3 linked regions of the Macaca fascicularis genome follow. The protein of the gene in region 2 interacts with the protein of the main gene of each other region in a pairwise test. Links are inferred from orthologs where the notes say so. Each region holds a gene or a part of one and is shown on either strand. Other genes may lie near its edges.

Evidence for each region.
Region 1: the proteins of PTPN11 (region 2) and TLK1 interact in binary tests that used the Homo sapiens proteins (3 or more experiments, as listed by UniProt). The link is inferred for Macaca fascicularis from reciprocal best matches to the Homo sapiens genes PTPN11 and TLK1.
Region 3: the proteins of PTPN11 (region 2) and GAB2 interact in binary tests that used the Homo sapiens proteins (3 or more experiments, as listed by UniProt). The link is inferred for Macaca fascicularis from reciprocal best matches to the Homo sapiens genes PTPN11 and GAB2.

Annotation. Positions count from the first base shown.
Region 1 is NC_088386.1:66,733,833-66,739,975, forward strand, and holds the start of TLK1 (serine/threonine-protein kinase tousled-like 1), read right to left. Parts: upstream 4,312-6,143; 5' UTR 3,804-4,311; coding exon 3,665-3,803; intron 3,198-3,664; exon of another isoform or gene 3,047-3,197; coding exon of another isoform or gene 2,980-3,046; intron 1-2,979. UniProt on the Homo sapiens protein: Rapidly and transiently inhibited by phosphorylation following the generation of DNA double-stranded breaks during S-phase. This is cell cycle checkpoint and ATM-pathway dependent and appears to regulate processes involved in chromatin assembly.
Region 2 is NC_088385.1:119,339,110-119,345,563, reverse strand, and holds the start of PTPN11 (tyrosine-protein phosphatase non-receptor type 11), read right to left. Parts: upstream 3,983-6,454; 5' UTR 3,776-3,982; coding exon 3,762-3,775; intron 1-3,761. UniProt on the Homo sapiens protein: Acts downstream of various receptor and cytoplasmic protein tyrosine kinases to participate in the signal transduction from the cell surface to the nucleus. Positively regulates MAPK signal transduction pathway. Dephosphorylates GAB1, ARHGAP35 and EGFR.
Region 3 is NC_088388.1:77,315,811-77,322,090, forward strand, and holds the start of GAB2 (GRB2-associated-binding protein 2), read right to left. Parts: upstream 4,312-6,280; 5' UTR 4,210-4,311; coding exon 4,132-4,209; intron 1-4,131. UniProt on the Homo sapiens protein: Adapter protein which acts downstream of several membrane receptors including cytokine, antigen, hormone, cell matrix and growth factor receptors to regulate multiple signaling pathways.

The DNA.
Region 1 (6,143 bases), on a different chromosome or scaffold from region 2:
GACATCTGTCACATATCTATTCATGAGCTAGAATCCTTAAACATATAACCCTGTCTTCCTCCAGCTAGCGATTTCAAAAAATTAAAGGTCTACAGGGCCATCTGGTACACCTTCATTTTTAACATCTCATTACTAAATCATCTGAAGTCAAATACTTTAATTCTTCTAAGGAATGCAGTCTTTAAATATGGAAACAGAGCAAGTTTACAGTTTAATCATACTATCATGCCATCTTTTTTTGAGAGAGTGCCTCACTCTGTCACCCAGGCTGGAATGCAATGACGCTATCTAGGCTCACCACAGCCTTCACCTCCCAGGCTCAAGCAATCCTCCCAACTCAGCCTCCCGAACCACGCCCAGCTAATTTTTCTACTTTTTGTAGAGACAGGGTTTCACCGTGTTGTCCAGGCTGGTCTTGAACTCCTGAACTCAAGCAATCCACCCGCCTAGGCCGCCCAAAGTGCTGGGATTACAGGCTTGAGCCACCACTCCCGACCCATACCAACCTTTTGGCCAAGTTTTCACTATTTACAAAAAAAAAAAAAAATCAAATTATTTATAATTGGCAGGAGCAGGAAAGAAAATGCAAGTGTTCTGTATAACCAATCATTCGATTCTCAGCAATAACCCACTCAAAAGTACCCATGTACTGATATGCAAAAAACCCAACTACTTATCTAGCCATTATGACACTAGGTTCCTAGGCTTCAACAAAGCAAAACTGGGCTTTACTTGAAAACCTTTTTAACTCCTCACTCCCTTAATCACAGGATTATAGAAGACAAAATGGGATGGAGATTATAGGTTTAAAAGATTCAACAGAAAATCTAGAGCTACATTACTGAACACCTCAAACAGAACCACAAGATTGGTAAGGTAAAAAGCTTTGAGACCCAGGGAAAAGAAATCTACACTATATTTATCATATAATTTCCTAAATTCTAATAGACTCCCAAATCTTAAAGAGCTGTATTGTGTTTGTAATAAAACTATGTGAATATGATAATGGTAATAAGGTAAAAAGAGAGAAAGAAAACCACAACATACAGCATCAAAAATAATCGGATTATAATCTTAGATTTTTGGTTTCCAACGTCAAAACTTCAAAATAAGTAACTTTTACAGATGCTTATGGCATATCTTTAAAAGTAACCCATTTTCAAAGTTAAATTTGCCTAAAAGGAGTTCATCACATAGAATATTTAAGTTCATATACATGTTCATCTCTTTGAAGTTTCAATTCTTCTATTACTCTATGTTAAACTGGCTCCACTTTTCAAGAAACAAAGTTAGTTCTCTTCTTGACACATAGAATACATTCAAGTTCCATTAATATCAATGGTTCTTACTAGCAGTAACTAGCCGTCAAAAAGCTTTCTAAAACTTCATCAATTTATATAATGTAGTAACATGTATACCTGAAAAAAGTGCTAAACACTTGTTAAAATAAAAACTGAGATTTCGCTTAATAGAAAACATCTCCATTTTGATACTCAGGGCTTCATATTCCTGTTAGCGTTAGTGAAATCTGAGAACACATCGCCAAACTTCAAAATGAATATAACCCTAGAGAGGATTAATAGTTTTAACTTGCATGCTGGTTGGTCAAAAAGAAATATCCCTCTGTAGCTATACAGGTACTTGGCATGAAGTGTAACTTTCACAAAAGCCCGTCCTATGATATCACGAATTAACAGAAACTCACTACTTCAGGTTACATAAAAACCCACTGCAATCTAAACTGCCAGAAAAAATTTATGGTTATCTGGAAGCTCAACCTAAACGATTCCAACCCCTCCAAATTTTCAAACATCAGGAAAAGTGCAGAATGTTTTTAAGTTGAAGTAACCTCAGAAACTCACAATCTAGATATTTTGTCTCCCAAATTCCCAATACTGATAACAGATGTCAACAGATAAACAATTCAATACTATGTCCTCAGTATGTAGTTCACGGACTGGCTCACAGTAATGGCTCAATAAATATTCGAGAAACGAATGAATGAACGAATGAATGATGATATAGTCTTAAATTAAGAAACGATAAAATGGTCTTTTTAAACTCACAACACTAACACAAAACATCTTAATGAAACTACAAACAAAAGTAAAAGCATGCTAAAAGCACCAACTTCTCTATGAAATACATTTTAAACCGTTCATTTGGAAATTTTCAAGTGCAAAAGAATCATCAGATAAATTTTTAGTCATTTAATACTTTTATATTCTAATAATGAAAGCTCAGCGTTGGGATAAGATGAAAGGGAGAAACGTCAGTCAATGTATTCCGCCTGTTTAATGGATCCCATAAATCAAAGCTTTCCGTGAATTTTCTAGAGCATATTCATGCCAATCTTTTAAGCCTATTGTCACTTTCACACATGCTCACAGGAACAAAATGACAAAGAATGCTATGCCTGAACCACTGGATTCAGGACACAAAACACTTGATTAACAATTGTCAAGGCTCTGAATAGTAAATATCGACAGACATTTTCAAAATAAAGTACTCCCACCGATTCCTACATAAATCGAAGCTCTTGATTTCTTTAAAACATTCACTAGACTGCTGAACTTCCAGACGTTTGAAAATATGCCTACAATCTCCTCGTGTGCGACAACTGGGAGTGAACAACCCGTTTATCAATTGCGGATGAACATCGCTAAGCGTTTTCCAGACAAAAGAGCGTTAAAAGACATTCCATGCACATTTATTCATCACCCATAAATGTGTTTTCTCCCAAATTTCATTTTATGTCGTATACTTAAAGTTAAATACAGCAAGTTGAAATTTTAGTCAAAAGCACGCCGGTGCCTTACAAGCTGTCTAACTGCTACATCTGGTGGCAGCACACTTGCTTGCAAGAAGCCAGAAAACTTAGAAAACAATTGTAACCGATCTGGTGCATGTTTGCAATAACCTTTACGCAGATATTTCCCACAAAACCCACGACCCTGTCAGAGAAGAACAGTAGCCTACTTGCAGCAGAGAATATAACGCACAAACACGCAGGAGGCAACGGCGGAGGAGAGAAAGTTGCAACCATCTGGAGGGGCGGTTTTAAAAGCCTGCCCACGAGTCAGTCTGTCGTTTAAATTGCTCTAGGGGGCCACACAGGGGATCAAAGTCTGCCTAGGTAATTTCAGTGTCTCTCCCCAAATGAGAGACCCTGCAAGCGAGGGGCATCCTCCAGGTCTGGGGCAGCAAAGCTCGCAGAGCGGGGACCGCCTCTATGGGAGGAGTGCGCGGGGGAAGGGGAGGGGGCTCGAGGACGAAGGCTCCAGCGGGAGGGAAAACCCACCAGAGACCGGAGGCCAGGAGGTTAAGAGTACTGAGTGTGCTGGCAAATGGAGCAGAAAGGGGCTCGCGTCCGGGGGGAGGCTTCCCACCCTCGCAGAACTGGCTCCCAGGAACCCCAGGCGAGTCTGTGCGCCTCGCCCCGTCCCCACCAGCGCGCACCCCCTCGTCCGTCTCTACCGCCACCCGCGAACCACCACCCACAGCCAGGGCAATACCTCCCCAGGGCCGGGGAGCCAGGCGGCCTCGCGTCCACCTCGCCACCATCCCCCACCCCGGGGTCTGGCGGAGGAGCCCCGGGGGGGCGCGGGGGTCCGCGGCACGGGAGGGGAGGCCCGCGAGCGGGCGCGGGCGCGGCAGTGCTTACCTTCCCTGGGCCTCCCGGATGGCGGCGTGTGATTCAGCAGGGACCTGGCCGCCGCCGCCGAGCCCGGGGTTGGAGACGTGGAGAGCTGGGACCAAGATGGCGGCCCCTCCAAACTTCCACTGCTACTTTGGACACTCATCAAGCTACTTTCTGGGAACCCGACTCCCCCCCTGCGACGGCAGCGGCGGCAACGGCACCGGCACCCGCCTCCGTCATGGCGGGGGCCGCGCTAAGGGCGAGCTAAAGAGCGAGGGCTGGGAGGGGAGAGTCAAGGGGATGGGGGAGGAAACCGAGAAGAGGGGCGGTGGGGAGGAAAGAGGTGAGGGAAGGAGAGGGGACAGGGAGGAGGGAAAGGGGGAGAAGCGAGGGAGCGGGCGGGCGCGCCGGAGAAGAGGCGGAGGGAAGGAGCGCGGCGGCGGAGGCGTCGAGGGGGTGCCCTGGGGCCGGGGTCGGAGCGCGGGCGGAGCGCGGGCTGCGCCGGCCGAGGAGACTTCCGCGGGCGGAACCTGCCGGCACCTCTGCAGTGCGTCGGCCCCCGGCGTCGCCCGGGAGGCGGCGGCGGCGGGCGGTGGGTGGCGGCTGAGGCAGCGGGGTAACCTCTGCATCAGTTACAGGCGGCGGCGGCGTCACGCGCCGCCTGTGCAAACACTATCGCGAGGCTCCTGCGCCTCCGGTAGCGGCGGCGGCGGCAGCGGCGGCCGCGGGAGCAGGCTTGGGGGAGGGACCTGCCAGAGACTGGAGGGGGGGTGGGGGCATGGGGAGGGAGCGAGCGCGCGAGGGAAGAGACGAGAGCGTCGGGGCGACCCTGCCGCACCCGCGGATCGCCGCGCGGCGCGGGAGCCCGGGGTTGCCGGACTCGCGTGCGCGGGGGCAGCGTCCCCGCGCCGGCCGGAGGGAGGCGCGCCCCCGCCGCGCCACTCGGGCTCGGGCGCTGCTGCCACCTGACTCCCCCTCTATTCCCGCGGAAGCGCGCCTGGCTCCTGACCCACACCCAACCCGGGGAGAAATGCTGCTGCTCTCGCTCAGCTGCCGCTTCTCTGGAGTTCAATGTGATCGTTTCTGAAAATGGAACTGAAAAGTTGAAAGTTCCTTCTTTCTTGTCCCTCTGTACTATGCAGAAAAACGTATGTGCGCCTCCCCGTCTGCAGAATGGGAATAATGACCGAATAAAAGAGCTCTGAAATGGGTAGTGGGAGAGTTGGGAAATAAAACTTTCTCGTGTTTTCTAAAAAAGAGTGAAGGAATCTTTAATGAAGAAATTGAAAATTACCGGTTTCGTAGACTGTATGGTATAGCAATTCTTGGTTTTAAAACAGTAAGTGGAAAATCTAAATGAAAAATGTGATTACTGAATTCACATACTTAGGAAAACAGCGTTCATCTTGTAGAAGGTATGGTTTCTAGAAATTTCTAATTTGTTTCTAGTATCTCCGCTGAGTCCCGACTACAAAAATCCCAAAACAAATGACAGCATTTGCTAAAATGTATTGATACAGTGTAGCTTTCTACAGACCCACACAAGTACACTCACACCAGGGACTGGGCTTCTTGTACATAAAAGAGCAGTCTAGTTCAGGAAAAGTACAACAAGGTTATTTCTCTCTAAAAAAACCAAATTGCATAGAGCACTAAAAAGATTATAACATAACGCTACTGCACAGACATGAGGAAATGGCATGATTACCAGGGGGACAAAAATGTCGTTTCTATTTTTTATTTTTATGACTTTGCATTTCTCATAGTAATGTTTTGTTCAGATAAACTATCATACTAGAAAAGAACCTTGATTGTCAGTTATCTCCAAAAGTAATTGTAGTTGCCTTGTGCTTTAGATACTTCAGTGAGTTTTTAGTCTTGTCTGCTTTTCAAACTTAAGAGGGACATCTCACAACTTTATTGGGGTATGATTGACAAAATAAACTGCACATATTTAAAGTGTACAATTTCTGGCCGGGCGCGATGGCTCACACCAGTAACCCCAGCACTTTGGGAGGCTGAGGCGGGCGGATCATGAGGTCAGGAATTTGAGAACAGCCTGGCCAATATGGTGAAACCCCGTCTCTACTAAAAATACAAAAATTAGCCGGGTGTGGTGGCACGTACCTGAGTCCCAGCTACTGGGGAGGCTGAGGTAGGAGAATGGCTTGAACCTGGGAGGCGGTGGTTGCGGTGAGCCAAGATCGCGCCATTGCACTCCAGCCTGGACGACAGAGCGAGACTCCTAGACTCCGTCTCAAAAATAAAAATAAAAATAAAGTGTACAATTTGATAAGTTTTGATATATATACATCCCTGAAACCACTTCTACAAGGAAAGTGGTGAATGTATCTATCACCCTCCAAAGTTTCCTCTATCCCTTTGTGGTTCCTCCTCCACTCTACTTCCATTCTCTCTAACCACAGATCTTCTTTCTGTCATATGGGTAGCTTTACATTTCATAGAATTTTAGATAAATGTTGGCCATACAGTCAATTTGTAC
Region 2 (6,454 bases):
CTGAGGTCAGGAGTTCGAGACCAGCCTGACCAACATGGAGAAACCCTGTCTCTACTAAAAATACAAAATTAGCCAGACGTGGTGGCGCATGCCTGTAATCCCAGCTACTCGGGAGGCTGAGGCAGGAGAATCGCTTGAATTTGGGAGGCAGAGGTTGTGGTGAGCCGAAATCGTGCCATTGCACTCCAGCCTGGGTAACAAGAGTGAAACTCCGTCTCAAAAAAAAAAAAAGAGAAAAGAAAGAAAGAAAGAAAGAAACTAGCAATATTTTCCTATCTTACTGCTTTATCCTGCCTGGCTCATTAACTTCCTGTTGAATGAATTAATACTAGGTTAAAGTAATTTGAAGGCCAGACACAGTGGATCATGCCTGTAATCCCAGCACTTTGGGAGGCCAAGGCAGGAAGATCGTTTGAGCCCAGGAGTTTGAGACCAGTCTAGCCAACCTGGCAAAACTCTGTCTCTACAAAAAAATTCAAAAATTAGCCGAGTGTGGTGGTGCACACTTGTAGTCCCAGTAATCGGCAAGCTGAGGAGGAAGGATGGATTGAGCCTAGGAAAACAAGGCTGCAGTGATCGCACCACTGCACTCCAGCCTGGGCAACAAAGCGAGACTCTATCTCAAAAAAACATAATAATAACAATAATAATAAAATTCTAGGGCTGGGCAGGGTGTCTCACGCCTATAATCCCAACACTGCAGTAGGCCAAGGTGAGAGGATCGCTTGAACCCAGGGGTTTGAGACTGCCCTGGGCAACACAGTGAGACCCCATCTCTATTCAAACAATTTAAAAATTTTAAAAAAACAAAAAAATTTTAGGAGATATAAACTAATATATAGTGACAGAAAGCAGAACAGTGGCTAAGAACAAACGAGGGATTACAAAAAACATGAGGCAAAATTACGAGGGACAATAGATGTGTTCATTATCTTGACTGTGGTGGTGGTTTCCCAAGTGTATATGTATGTCAAAACTGATCAAATTGTACATTTAAATATATGCATTTAATTGCATGTCATTTATAGCTCAGTAAGGCTGGTTAATAAAACAGACTTATAATCTAAAAAATGATAAATCATTCAAAATTCTGTGTATTATGTTCATAATCTGGCTTTTTGGGTGGTACACAATACCAGGGCTGGAGGGGAAAAGGAACAACTCCATTTCAAACTGTCATCTTTACCACTTGCTGCTTTGACTATGCCCACACTTCCATGCTTCTAAACTAACAAACTGGACAATGTAGGGTCTAATACTACACAGATCTTTTCCCAACCCTCAGCCCCCTAAAGCAGCAAATCCTTACTTGTCTGGAAGAGCAGACACCAGGAACAAAAGGCTCAATGACTATTAGACAGATTAAAGAATAGACAACTGTTTATTTAAAAGCTCCCTAAAGAATTAGAACATTTGAGGCTATACACTGTTCCGTTGAAATGCAGTTATATATTACCCAGATCCGCAAGCACTTGCCAACAGACCTGTCCAAGTCACTCACTTCCTACGAGTTCTGTTTTCTTTTTTCTCCCCTTTTTAAATTCCAGATCCATGTAAGAATAACATGCCAGGTCTGTTTGGAGGAGACATTCCTAATATTTTGAAAAATCTCATTCAGGCCGGGTGCGGTGGCTCACGCCTGTAATTCCAGCACTTTGGGAGGCCGAGGCAGGCGGATCTCGAGGTCAGGAGTTTAAGACCAATCTGGCCAACATAGTGAAACCCCGTCTCTACTAAAAATACAAAACTCGGCCGGGCACGGTGGCTCATGCTTGTAATTCCAGCACTTTGGGAGGCCGAGGCGGGCGGATCACAAGGTCAGGAGATCGAGACCATCCCGGCTAACATGGTGAAACCCCGTCTCTACTAAAAATACAAAACATTCGCCAGACGTCGTGGCGGGCACCTGTAGTCCCAGCTACTTGAGAGGCTGAGGCAGGAGGATGGCTTGAACCCAGAAGGCGGAGCTTGTAGTGAGCCGAGATTGCGCCACGGCACTCCAGCCTGGGCAAGAGAGCGAGACTCTGTTTCAAAAAAAAAAATTAGGCCGGGCGCAGTGGCTCAAGCCTGTAATCCCAGCACTTTGGGAGGCCGAGACGGGCGAATCACGAGGTCAGGAGATGGAGACCATCCTGGCTAACACGGTGAAACCCCGTCTCTACTAAAAAATACAAAAAACTAGCAGGGCGAAGTGGCGGGCGCCTGTAGTCCCAGCTACTTGGGAGGCTGAGGCAGGAGAATGGCGTGAACCCGGGAGGCGGAGCTTGCAGTGAGCTGAGATCCGGCCACTGCACTCCAGCCTGGGCGACAGAGCATGACTCCGTCTCAAAAAAAAAAAAAAAAAAAAAAAAAAAAAAAAAAAAAAAAAAATTAGCCAGGCATAGTGGCATGCCGATAGTCCCAGCTACTTGGGAGGTTGAGGCAGGAGAATCGCTTGAACCTAGGAGGCGGAGGTTGTGGTGAGCCGAGATCGTGCCACTGCACTCCAGCCTGGGCTGTTAACAGAGTGAGACTCCGTCTCAAAAAAAGAGAAAAAAAAAGAAAGAAAAAAAAATCTCATTCAAATAGCCTCAATAGCTTGAATCGTTTTTTAAATGTCTGAGACAGTGACCATAATTGAACAACCATGGAAAAGAATAGACAATGGGTCTTAAGTGTGAGTGGTATATAGAGTGATTATATAAAATAGCAGGATCATTATCTGAAAACAAGTCACACTACTGTTTGACAACAAAATTAAGGCTTACAAGTGGTTAGCAATAGTTACAAAATAATAGAAGCAACATAGTGATTAAAAGTAGGGATTCTGTCTCCACCACCTACTAGCTGTGAGGTTAAGCAATCTACTTAACCTCTCCGAAACTCGGTTTACTCATCTTTACAATGGGGATAATAGTAGCCATCTGAGAGGGCTGTCGTCAGAACTAAGCAAATGTTAGCTATTAGTAGTAATATTACCCTGATCTTTCAAAGGATCTCATTAACTCACTAATTCTCCTTAGTTTCAAATCTTGTCATTTACTAGCATGTTGCTTCTGGGCCTCGGTTTCCTCATCCATAAAACGGGTACCAGTAAAGTGACCTGACTGTTAAGGTTGCAGTGAAGGATTAAATAACGAGATGCGGCTCCCTTCCTTTCCATCTCCCAAAGCGAATATCGCAGAGGAAGGAAATACTTCTAGTGGCTGCAGATACAGTCAGTTTTTCCATTTCTGGCACGTGAGGGGTGGGAGAAAAAGAAGACACAAAGGGGCACATAAAAGGGTCAGGGGTCCTTCGTTAAGACCCCAAATGCACGCAAGTGGCACAGTGACCCAGAACGACTAGACCACTGGGGGCCCGGCCCCGCGCAACTCCCATCTCGTGTCCCAAGGAGCCTCCCCAAGTGAGCAGGGTTATTTCGGAATCACCATGAGGCAATTCTCATGAGGCAATGGGTCAGGAATGCGGCGCTGAGCCGGGCCGCTGGCGCCCGTGGTTCCCTAGGCGGCTCTACCTGCCCCAGGCCTGACGGGCATCCCCCGGGCTGCCGCAGCCGGAACTCAGGGAGGCAGGAAATGAATGGGGACCCAAGGGGTGGGGGCGCGGTGGGGCCGGCCCCCGGGCCGAGGAGGGACAGGGGACGAGGAGGGAACTGGCCCCCAATCCCGATCCGGGGCGGGAGCCCGAAGCCCGGCCGGGGCGCCCCCTTCCGGACGGGGCTGACCGAATGCGGCGGGGGCCGGGCCGAGGCCCGGGCCGGGCCCCTCGGGGCTCCTCACCTCCGCGATGTCATGTTCCTCCCGCCCTCCGGCTCCGCGACGGACCCGCTCCTTGCTCAAGCTCCACTAGGCTCGGTCACATCGGGCTGGCCCGAGGGAGGCCCGCTCGGGACCGGACGCGGGGCAGAGCCAGCCGGCCGCGCACAGACCCCCCTCCAGGCCTGGGGATCCCGGAGACTGTGCAGCCGCCCCCCGGCCCGGCTCGCTCCTCCTCCGCCCCCGCCCTTCGCCGCCGTCGCCCCCGTGATGTCACCGCTAGCGACGCCCGCCGCCACTTCCTGCTTCCCGTTAGCCGAGGACGGAGCCACGGCCGGGAATGGCAGCGCGGGGGTTCCGCGGAGGCGCTAAGCGCAGCGTCCAAAGCATCCTTGCTTCCTCCCGGAAATCGCGGCCGCCGGGTGTGAGCTGCGCGCTCGGCGGCTACGCCACTCCACCGACCGGGCGCGTCCGGGCCCACTGCCACATCGATTTCATTCATTTCGTTCCACAAATCGCCACTCGACTCATTAGCTGTGGAACCTTGGGGAATTACCTACTGTCTCCGAGCCTCAGTTTCCTCCATTAGGCTGGGCGCGGTGGCTCACGCCCGTAACCCCAACAATTTAGGAGGCTGCAGCAAGAGTGTCGCTTAAGCCTAGGAGCTAGAGGCCAGCCTGGGCAAAAAAGACCTCATCTCTACAAAAAATGCAAAACCCTAGCCAGGCGTGGAGGCTGCGGCGGGAGGATAACTTAAGCCCGGGAAGTCGGTGCTGCAGTGAGTCGTGATCACGCCACTGCCCTCCAGCCTGGGCGACAGCAAGACACTGCCTAAAAAAACTAGTAATAGACCGGGCGCGGTGGCTCACGCCCGTAATCCCAGCACTTTGGGAGGCCGAGGCGGGCGGATCACGAGGTCAAGAGATCGAGACCATCCTGGCCAACATGGTCTCCACTAAAAATTCAAAAATGAGCTGGACGTGGTGGCGTTCGCCTGTAATCTCAGCTACTTGGGAGGCTGAGGCAGGAGAATCGCTTGAACCTGGGAGGCAGAGGTTGCGGTGAGCCGAGGTCGCACCACTGCGCTCCAGCCTGCAATAGAGCCAAACTCCGTCTCGATAATAATAATAACAAATACTACTTTGGGGTGGGAGCAGTGGCACACGCCTGAAATCCCAGCACTTCCCTTTGGGAGGCTGAGGCGGGCGAATCGCTTGAGTCCAGGAGTTGGGAACCAGCCCCGGCAAAATAGTGAAATCCCATCTCTACAAAAAATACAAAAATTAGCCGGGCGTGGTGGCACGCGCCTGTAGTCCCAGCTACTCGGGAGGCTGAGGTGAGAGAATTGCTTGAGCCTGGAGGGTCGAGGCTGCTGTGAGCCGAGATCAGGCCACTGCACTCAGGCCAGGTATGGTGGCTCACACCTTCATCCCAGCACTTTGGGAGGCCGAGGCAGGAGGATTGCTTGAGCCTAGGAGTTCAAGATCAGCCGGGGCAACATGGCACGACCCTGTCTCTAAAACAAAAAACAAACAAACGAAAAAGCTGGGTGGTGGGGAAGTATTATTTTGGACACTGTGAAGCTCGAGGAAGAGGGCAAGGCCAGAAACGGAGAAGCCAGTCAAAATACGGGAATACTGTAGTATTCTGGTCTGGGAATAATGGTGACTCAGACCAGATTGAGAAGAGTAGAGTTTTTTTACTTGATTGATGCCCATATAACTCATTGAAGGCTACAGATCTAGCTGGGTGTGGTGGCTCACACCTGTAATCCCAGGACTTTGGGAGGCCAAGGTGGGTGGATCATCTGAGGTCAGGAGTTCAAGACCAGCCTGGCCAACATGGTGAAACCCCATCTCAACTAAAAATACAAAGATTAGTCGGGGTTGGTGGCGCACACCTGTAGTCCCAGCTACTCCGGAGGCTGAGGAGGGAGAATTGCTTGAACCAGGCAGACAGAGGTTGCAGTGAGCCCAGATCGCACCACTGCACTCCAGCCTGGGCGACAGGACAAGACTCTCAAAATAAATAAATAAAGGCTACAGATCTAGTGAATGGCAGAGCCATAAATTTAACCCATATCTATATAGCTCCAGCATCCTCATTGTTTTAATGCTTGCCCATTTCATTCATATACAAATGACTTTCATACTGTGTGCTAACTGCTTCAGCACTCATGTGCTCCTTACAGAGATCACCTTTAATATATGTCAATTTAATTCACATAATAGCCATTCAACAAGCATTTGTCCCTCTCCCTAAACCTGGCCACCTAGATGACAAGCAACATTTTAACTGATCTCAGGCCTGCAGGCCTAAACTTCCTAATCCAATCTCCACATAGTAGCCAGAGGAATCTAAACTACAAAACTAGGTGGGGCACCGTAGCTCATGCCTGTAATCCCAGCACATTGAGAGGCCAAGGCAGGTGGCTCACCTGAGGTCAGGAGTTCGAGGCCAGTCTGGCCAACATGGTGAAACCTCGTCTCTACTAAAAATACAATTAATTGTGGCCAGGCACAGTGGCTCACACCTATAATCCCAGCACTTTGGGAGGCCGAGGCAGGTGGATCACCTGAGGTCAGGAGTTTGAGACCAGCCTGGCCAACATGGTGAAACCCAATCTCTACTAAAAATACAAAATTTAGCTGGGTGCAGTGGTAGGCACCTGTAGTCCCAGCTACTTGGGAGACTGAAGCGAGAGAATTGCTTGAACC
Region 3 (6,280 bases), on a different chromosome or scaffold from region 2:
CTCTGAATTTAGTGACCTGGGTATCGCTGCTGCCTTTGTGAGAATAGCTCTGGTAAATAACAAAGTAGGTTTCCACTGCAGCAGACTGAGAAGAAGGTGGGAGAAAGGAAGACTGCATAAACCACCACCAAGTTTACCCTGAAGAAAAGGAGAGAGTACAGAGAGGGAAAGAAATTGAAGATGTGTTACAGGATAAGAATTATTTGAGTAGGGAGGAGAAGATATGATTCAAAGTATAAGTAGCAAGATTAGCTCAGATAGAAGACGCACTTCATCCACTCTAAGGAAACCACAAAGGAACTACGCAGGCTGGGCGTGGTGGCTCATGTCTGTAATCCCAGCACTTCAGGAGGCTGAGGTGGGCGGATCACCGGAGGTCAGGAGTTCAAGACTAGCCTGACCAACGTGGTCAAGCCTCATCTCTACTAAAAATACAAAATTAACCAGGCGTGGTGGCGCATGCCTATAAACCCAGCTACTTGGGAGGCTGAGGCAGGAGAACCGCTTAAACCCAGGAGGCAGAGGTTGCAGTGAGCCCAGACTGTGCCGTTGCACTCCAGCCTAGGCAACAAGAGCGAACCTCTGTCAAAAAAAAAAAGAAAGAAACAAGAAGGAAAGGAACTAGGCAGATATAGGTAAATTTGAAAGTGTGGCCATTCATGGTACGTACAGATAACTACTCCCTCATCATTTCAATTTTCTTTGTGAAGGAGAAGGCAAAGCCATTGCTAAGACTGAAAGGCTGGATTAATGTTCTTTCTTTTTATTTACTGAATTTTTATTCCAAGCACCTGAAGTACCTAGGACATAGATTTAATAAGTATATTTAACAAATACAATGGAAATAAACAATTACTGTTACCTTAATGCAGTTGTTCATTAAAATTTGTGCACAACTTTCAAGTTAGCCACTAGGGGGCAGTCTGCCAATTTTATTCCCTAAATCTTTTAACCCAGTGAAATTGAAAACTACAATGCAGTGTAGGTCATATTAATAAAATGTTTTTCCTCAAGAAAATTCTGTTTAAGATTTATATACATGTACGTGTATATGCATTTGCATGCACACGCATACACACACAAATACACTGAGGCACGATGGGAGGGTTGTTACTCCTGCCAACCTCCCACTGCAACCGTATCAGGATGCCCCAGGGGCAATAGTCAGCATTTTCCAAAGTCATTTTTTGTAATTTCTCCAGGGCACTCAGCAAATAGCAGATAGATCTTTTATACTTATAATTAACTAGAAAAGGCTGATGAAAAAATATCTGAAAACTAATTGCTCAAACATTTGCCTTTGCTTCTTCTAAGATGTTTCCCCCCTCTGCACCTCCTTGTCTTTCTGAATTAAATAAGTTTTTTGTTTTTCTTTGAAATGGAGTCTCATTCTCTCACCCAGGCTGGAGTGCAGTGGTGCAATCTCGGCTTGCTGCAACCTCAGCCTCCCAGACTCACCCAATTCTCATGTCTCAGCCTCCTGAGTAACTGGGACTACAGGTGCCCTCCACAACGCCCAGCTAATTTTTGTATTTATGGTAGAGACGGGGTTTTGGCCAGGCTGGTCTCGAATTTCTGACCTCCAGTGATCTGCCGGCCTCAGCCTCCCAAAGTGCTGGGATTACAGGCATAAACCACTGCGCCCAGCCTTCGAATTAAATCAGTTTTTAAAAAAATCGTTTTAAATAGTTATAACCTAGTTCATCAACTACTTTTTCCCCTTATCTCATATGCTTGTGGCATTCTTATAAAGAGGATTTCTCAGTACAATATAACATGACTATGATGTATACCAGAAGCAGCAGCTACTTTGGGGTAAATATACAGCCATTAGGCTGGGAAATACTTTCCAAGTTTGGTTCTGATGAACTCGGGCCTCTACTGAAATAAGCAAACTAGCAGAGTTTTAACTTACAACAGGATGCAAAAATTCTTAATACCCCCAAAAACAGTAGACGTAAAAGAATACTGTTCCCCGGAAGCTTAAGGTTACACAGATCAGCAGTTTCAACTGGGGGGAAACTGAACTTTCGAAAGGGCAGAGGCTTCCAGTCATGTAAGTGAACACATCACATCCTGGCCTAAGAAAAGCTGTTACTGAAAGCTGTTAAGGTCTGACACCTGATGGGCTGAAGGTGCATCGAAGATGGGAAAGAGAGGCTAAGGCCATCACACGATTCTAGATTCGTTCAAATGAGTGAAAAAGGTGCTTGACCCAAATGCCTCCAAACCTGGTTTTTTTGAACTAAAGTTGTTTGGGAACAAAAACACCCAAGAAATGGGTCATAAAGAGAGTCTGGGTGAGCGTTCAAGGAGCGGTAAGTCAAATGGAGATACAATGTCATACTGTTTGCAAATTGTTTCAAAAACAAGTTTCAAGGTTTAGTGTAGTGTTCAAATTTGAAAACTAAGGGTCACTTTTTCTTTTTTTTTACTGTGGACACTCTATTCCACTAGCTTGTATGGAAATCTATTTGTAAAGATAATTTTTGGAAGCTCTTTGGGACAAAGTTTTAAAAATATTTATTAAATTGTTAATAGTAAATCACTGCTCCTTAATCCTAATTAAAGTATTCAACCTTCCTAACGAACTGATACAAGCCTGAAGAGGAAAAAAGTGTATTTCTTAATAATTATACTTTGGCTACATAGACACTCCTAAAAATGAGCTTTCAAACTGAGATGAACAATTCACTGCTTCATCCCTCCTATAAATCCACGTCCACTTTCAAAAGTCATGTGCTAAATCAGAATTTTTTTTTTCCTAGCAAACATCTACGTAAGAGCCTGATTTCATTGACACACACACTTGCACTCCGCAACAACAACACTTCCTTTGAAAAACAGAATGTCACTTCCTCAGTCCAGAGGCCAGAAGTCCCTTGATTCTGATCTGGGGAGCCAAGACAGGAAATTCTGGTAGGCTTCTGCTTCTCCCCCCATGGACAGCCACTGGTGCAGCTGACAGAGGGCAGGGTCTATTCCGAGCTCCCTTGATGCACTGCAGCTGGAGGCAACGGCTCCCTTCCAGGCTGTGGGAGTGATCCCGGAGTCCGGCACCACAGCCCGTTAAACAAGGGCATTTCATGGGAAAAGGAGAGGGAGCAGATGAGAGACCTTGAAACCTTCCAGCCACCTTACCCCCACTTCCAAACTCCCGCGACTACCCCAGGACCATTTCGGCAAAATCTCAGTAACTGGCACCATCTTGTACTTTGACCTCACCAGGCAAGGCATCCTCTGGGGAGAGGGGTTAAAAAAAAAAAAAAAAAAAAGCCAGAACTCCACGGCTCAGCGCCACGCCGTTCCACCTCCCCCAAACTGCCAGTTCCCCACCTAGAGGGAAGAGGCTGTTCCAGCGATGTCAGTAAACACTGTGGGTTGGCAACACCTGGGCGCCGAGAGCCTCGATCTCTCCCGACCCCAGACAACCGGGAGCTGCCAGGTCCCAAACCCGGGCCAGCCACGGGGACCAAACTGCAGTGTCACACCGGGGTCGGGGGAGGCGCCTGTGAGAGACGAACGGAATAAAGGGAGAGAAGGGGGACAAACAAATGAGTCACTTAATACAAGGGCTGCACATGCCGCTGACGCTGCCGGTGATGCAGCCGCGGACGGAGTGAGGCCGGCGGCCGGGAGGGGCGGGCGGAGAAAGGGAAGGAGAGGGCGTGAGGCGCTCGCCCTTTGTGGGGCCGTCCGCGCGGGCCCACAGCCTACGCCCCCCTTTCCCGCCCTCTCCCGGACCTGTGAGCTGAAGCTGCTAGGGGCCGCCGCGGAGCCCCAGCCCCGAGAGTCAACTCTCTCGGTCTCCAGAAGCCATCAATACAAACTTCGACACTATATTTAGTTTACGGGCAGACCGCCTGGGGAGGCGCCGACGCCGCGCCCGCCTGGCGGAGCAGGAGCCGCAGCCTCAACCTGCCGCCCGCCCCGCCCCGCCCCTCGGCGGCGCACCTGTGACAGGTGTGCAGGTACCCCACACGACCCTGGCCGCTCCTCGCCCCCGGCCCCCGCGGCTCCGGGCCCGAGCTCCCCAGCCTGCCGCCCCTCCGGGAGCCCCCCGCCCCTCCGCAGGCCCCGGAGCGCCCCCCGCCCGCCCGCCCGCCCCTCGGCGGCCGCGCCCGCACTCACATAGCGCCTCAACTTCTTCTCGGGAGGCGATTTCCTCAGCCAGCCGGTGCACACCACGTCGCCGCCGCCGCCGCTCATGCTGCCGGCCTGGAGCCCGCCGCTGGGTCGCGCGGACTAGGGCGCGGGCTCGGGCAGCTGGGGCAGCGGCCGGCGGTGCGCAGCTCGCGGGAGGCCAGGGGCGGGGCGGGCGGCCCGGCGGGGACTAGGCGGCGCGGCGCGCGCCCGGCGGCCTCGCGCGCGCCCGCTCCCCCGCCCCGAGCGCGCGCAATCCGCACTCTCCGCCGGGCCGCCGCGGGGGCAGTTGCAGCGGGAAGGCCGGCGCGCTCGCCACGCCCGCTCCCGCCGCGCCCCCGAGGCCGCCGCGCACGCGGACGCGGGGCTGGGGATCCGCCAGGACACAGAAAGCCACCGCCGCCGGCGAGCCCCGGAATCTCGCTTTCTCCTGAGGCCTCAAGCTGCGGGCGCGGAGGCCGGGGAGGCGGCCGCGCCCCTGGCGCTGGCGGGCGTGCGGAGAAGGGACTGCGCGCCCTCCGTCGTCGATCGATTTTTCACCGAGCGTCGACGGGGAAGGGATCCGAGGGTTGCTCGCGTTTCCGATCCATTCTGCGGGTCAGGTTCCTGCTGAAAGGAGGGACCCCTTCCCAGTAAGAAGTTCCTTAACTCTGGCGCCCCTCGGCGGGAGGAGGAGACGGACCTACTACGCGCCGGAGCCTTTGCACTCTTGGCTTACAGGATTGTCTTCAGTATTGTTCCCATTTTATGGACTGCCTAAGGGCAAGGGCTTGTACAAAGCCTAGCCAAGTTTCCAATTCAGGTGTGTGGGGGAGGAGGGGTCCCAGTCATCCCCTATTCAAAATGAGGGCATTGCCTTAATGGGATCAACCTGGGAGCCTCTCATTGCCTGGAAACAAAGTCCAGCTGAGTCCCTCCTACATTGCCTCTAGGAAAACAGTTAAGTATAGAAAACTCGCATGATTTGTAGAATGGAAGAAGCAAACCTAGTAAATATATTTCATAGTGAATTGGAAGGCAAGGTCAAGTGTAGAAGAACAAGAAATTGGGGTCCAAATTCCCCAACGTCCCCGCTCATTGACAGTGTCTCTCCAAGCAGCATTAAAAGGCAGGTCCTCCCTAACTTCTCTGATAAGTGGATAGTATCCTGTTTATTCAATGGGGAACCGTGCTGTGTGGACAGATGAATTGGAGAAGCAGCATCTTGCACTGCCCCACACAACCTTAGACTAAAGCTGTTTTGTTCATTTCTGTCTCTGTGCAGCTGAGATGTTTCAAGCAGTTGGACATCATTTGGTCCAACAGATCTTGATTGGGTTGGGGGAAGTTCACCCTCCTCAGTTTGGAAAAGCGAATCCGCTATCACGTACTTAGCTCTTCTAGATACCCTAGGAGTTTTAGCAGTCAGTCTCCTGGATCTAACATTTCACTGACTTTCTTCAATATCCACTGTGCTGCTGGATGGGAAGTAAAGCCAGAACTGTTAGGCTGGGACCACAGCTCCCTTAACCTTCCAATTTGGGGATCCTTAAGTCACATATGAAGGGCCACCACCAGAATGATGGCCATTTTAACTTCTGGCTTTAAGTACCTTAAATCCCTGTAAGACATACAATACTTAACGTCTGCCAAATCAATCAGGAGGCGGTGACTCCCCACCAAAATAAACCCATCCTGACTTCATTCACATCTGAGTCATGGTGCCAAGTCCCAGGGATTGCAGAGTCGAAGAAATCTGCATGGTTTGGCTGCAGCTGAGGTTTGTGATGCAAGTCAGGCAGACGTATGCCCTATCTTCCCCCAGAAGAGTAGTCTTTTACATATCCTTTGATAGTTATATGATTCAATACACAGACTGGAAGGCTGTTTAGCAAGAGTTAGTTGGGGTTAGGTAATATTCTGCCAGAAATTCTTTAAGGTCTTATTTTGTTTGTTTAGGAAAAGATGGTGTTATTTACAATTTCATGTAGAAATGGAAAAGTTTGATGTTTCTTGTTTGGCCAATGGCAGGAGGGACCTTGAAATGTGAATACAATAGTCACCACGTATCAGCTTTGGGAAGGGTTCTCTGAACATCTTTCCCCAAAGGTTGAAGGCGGGCTAGAGTGCAGTGGCGTGATCTTGGCTCACTGCCAGC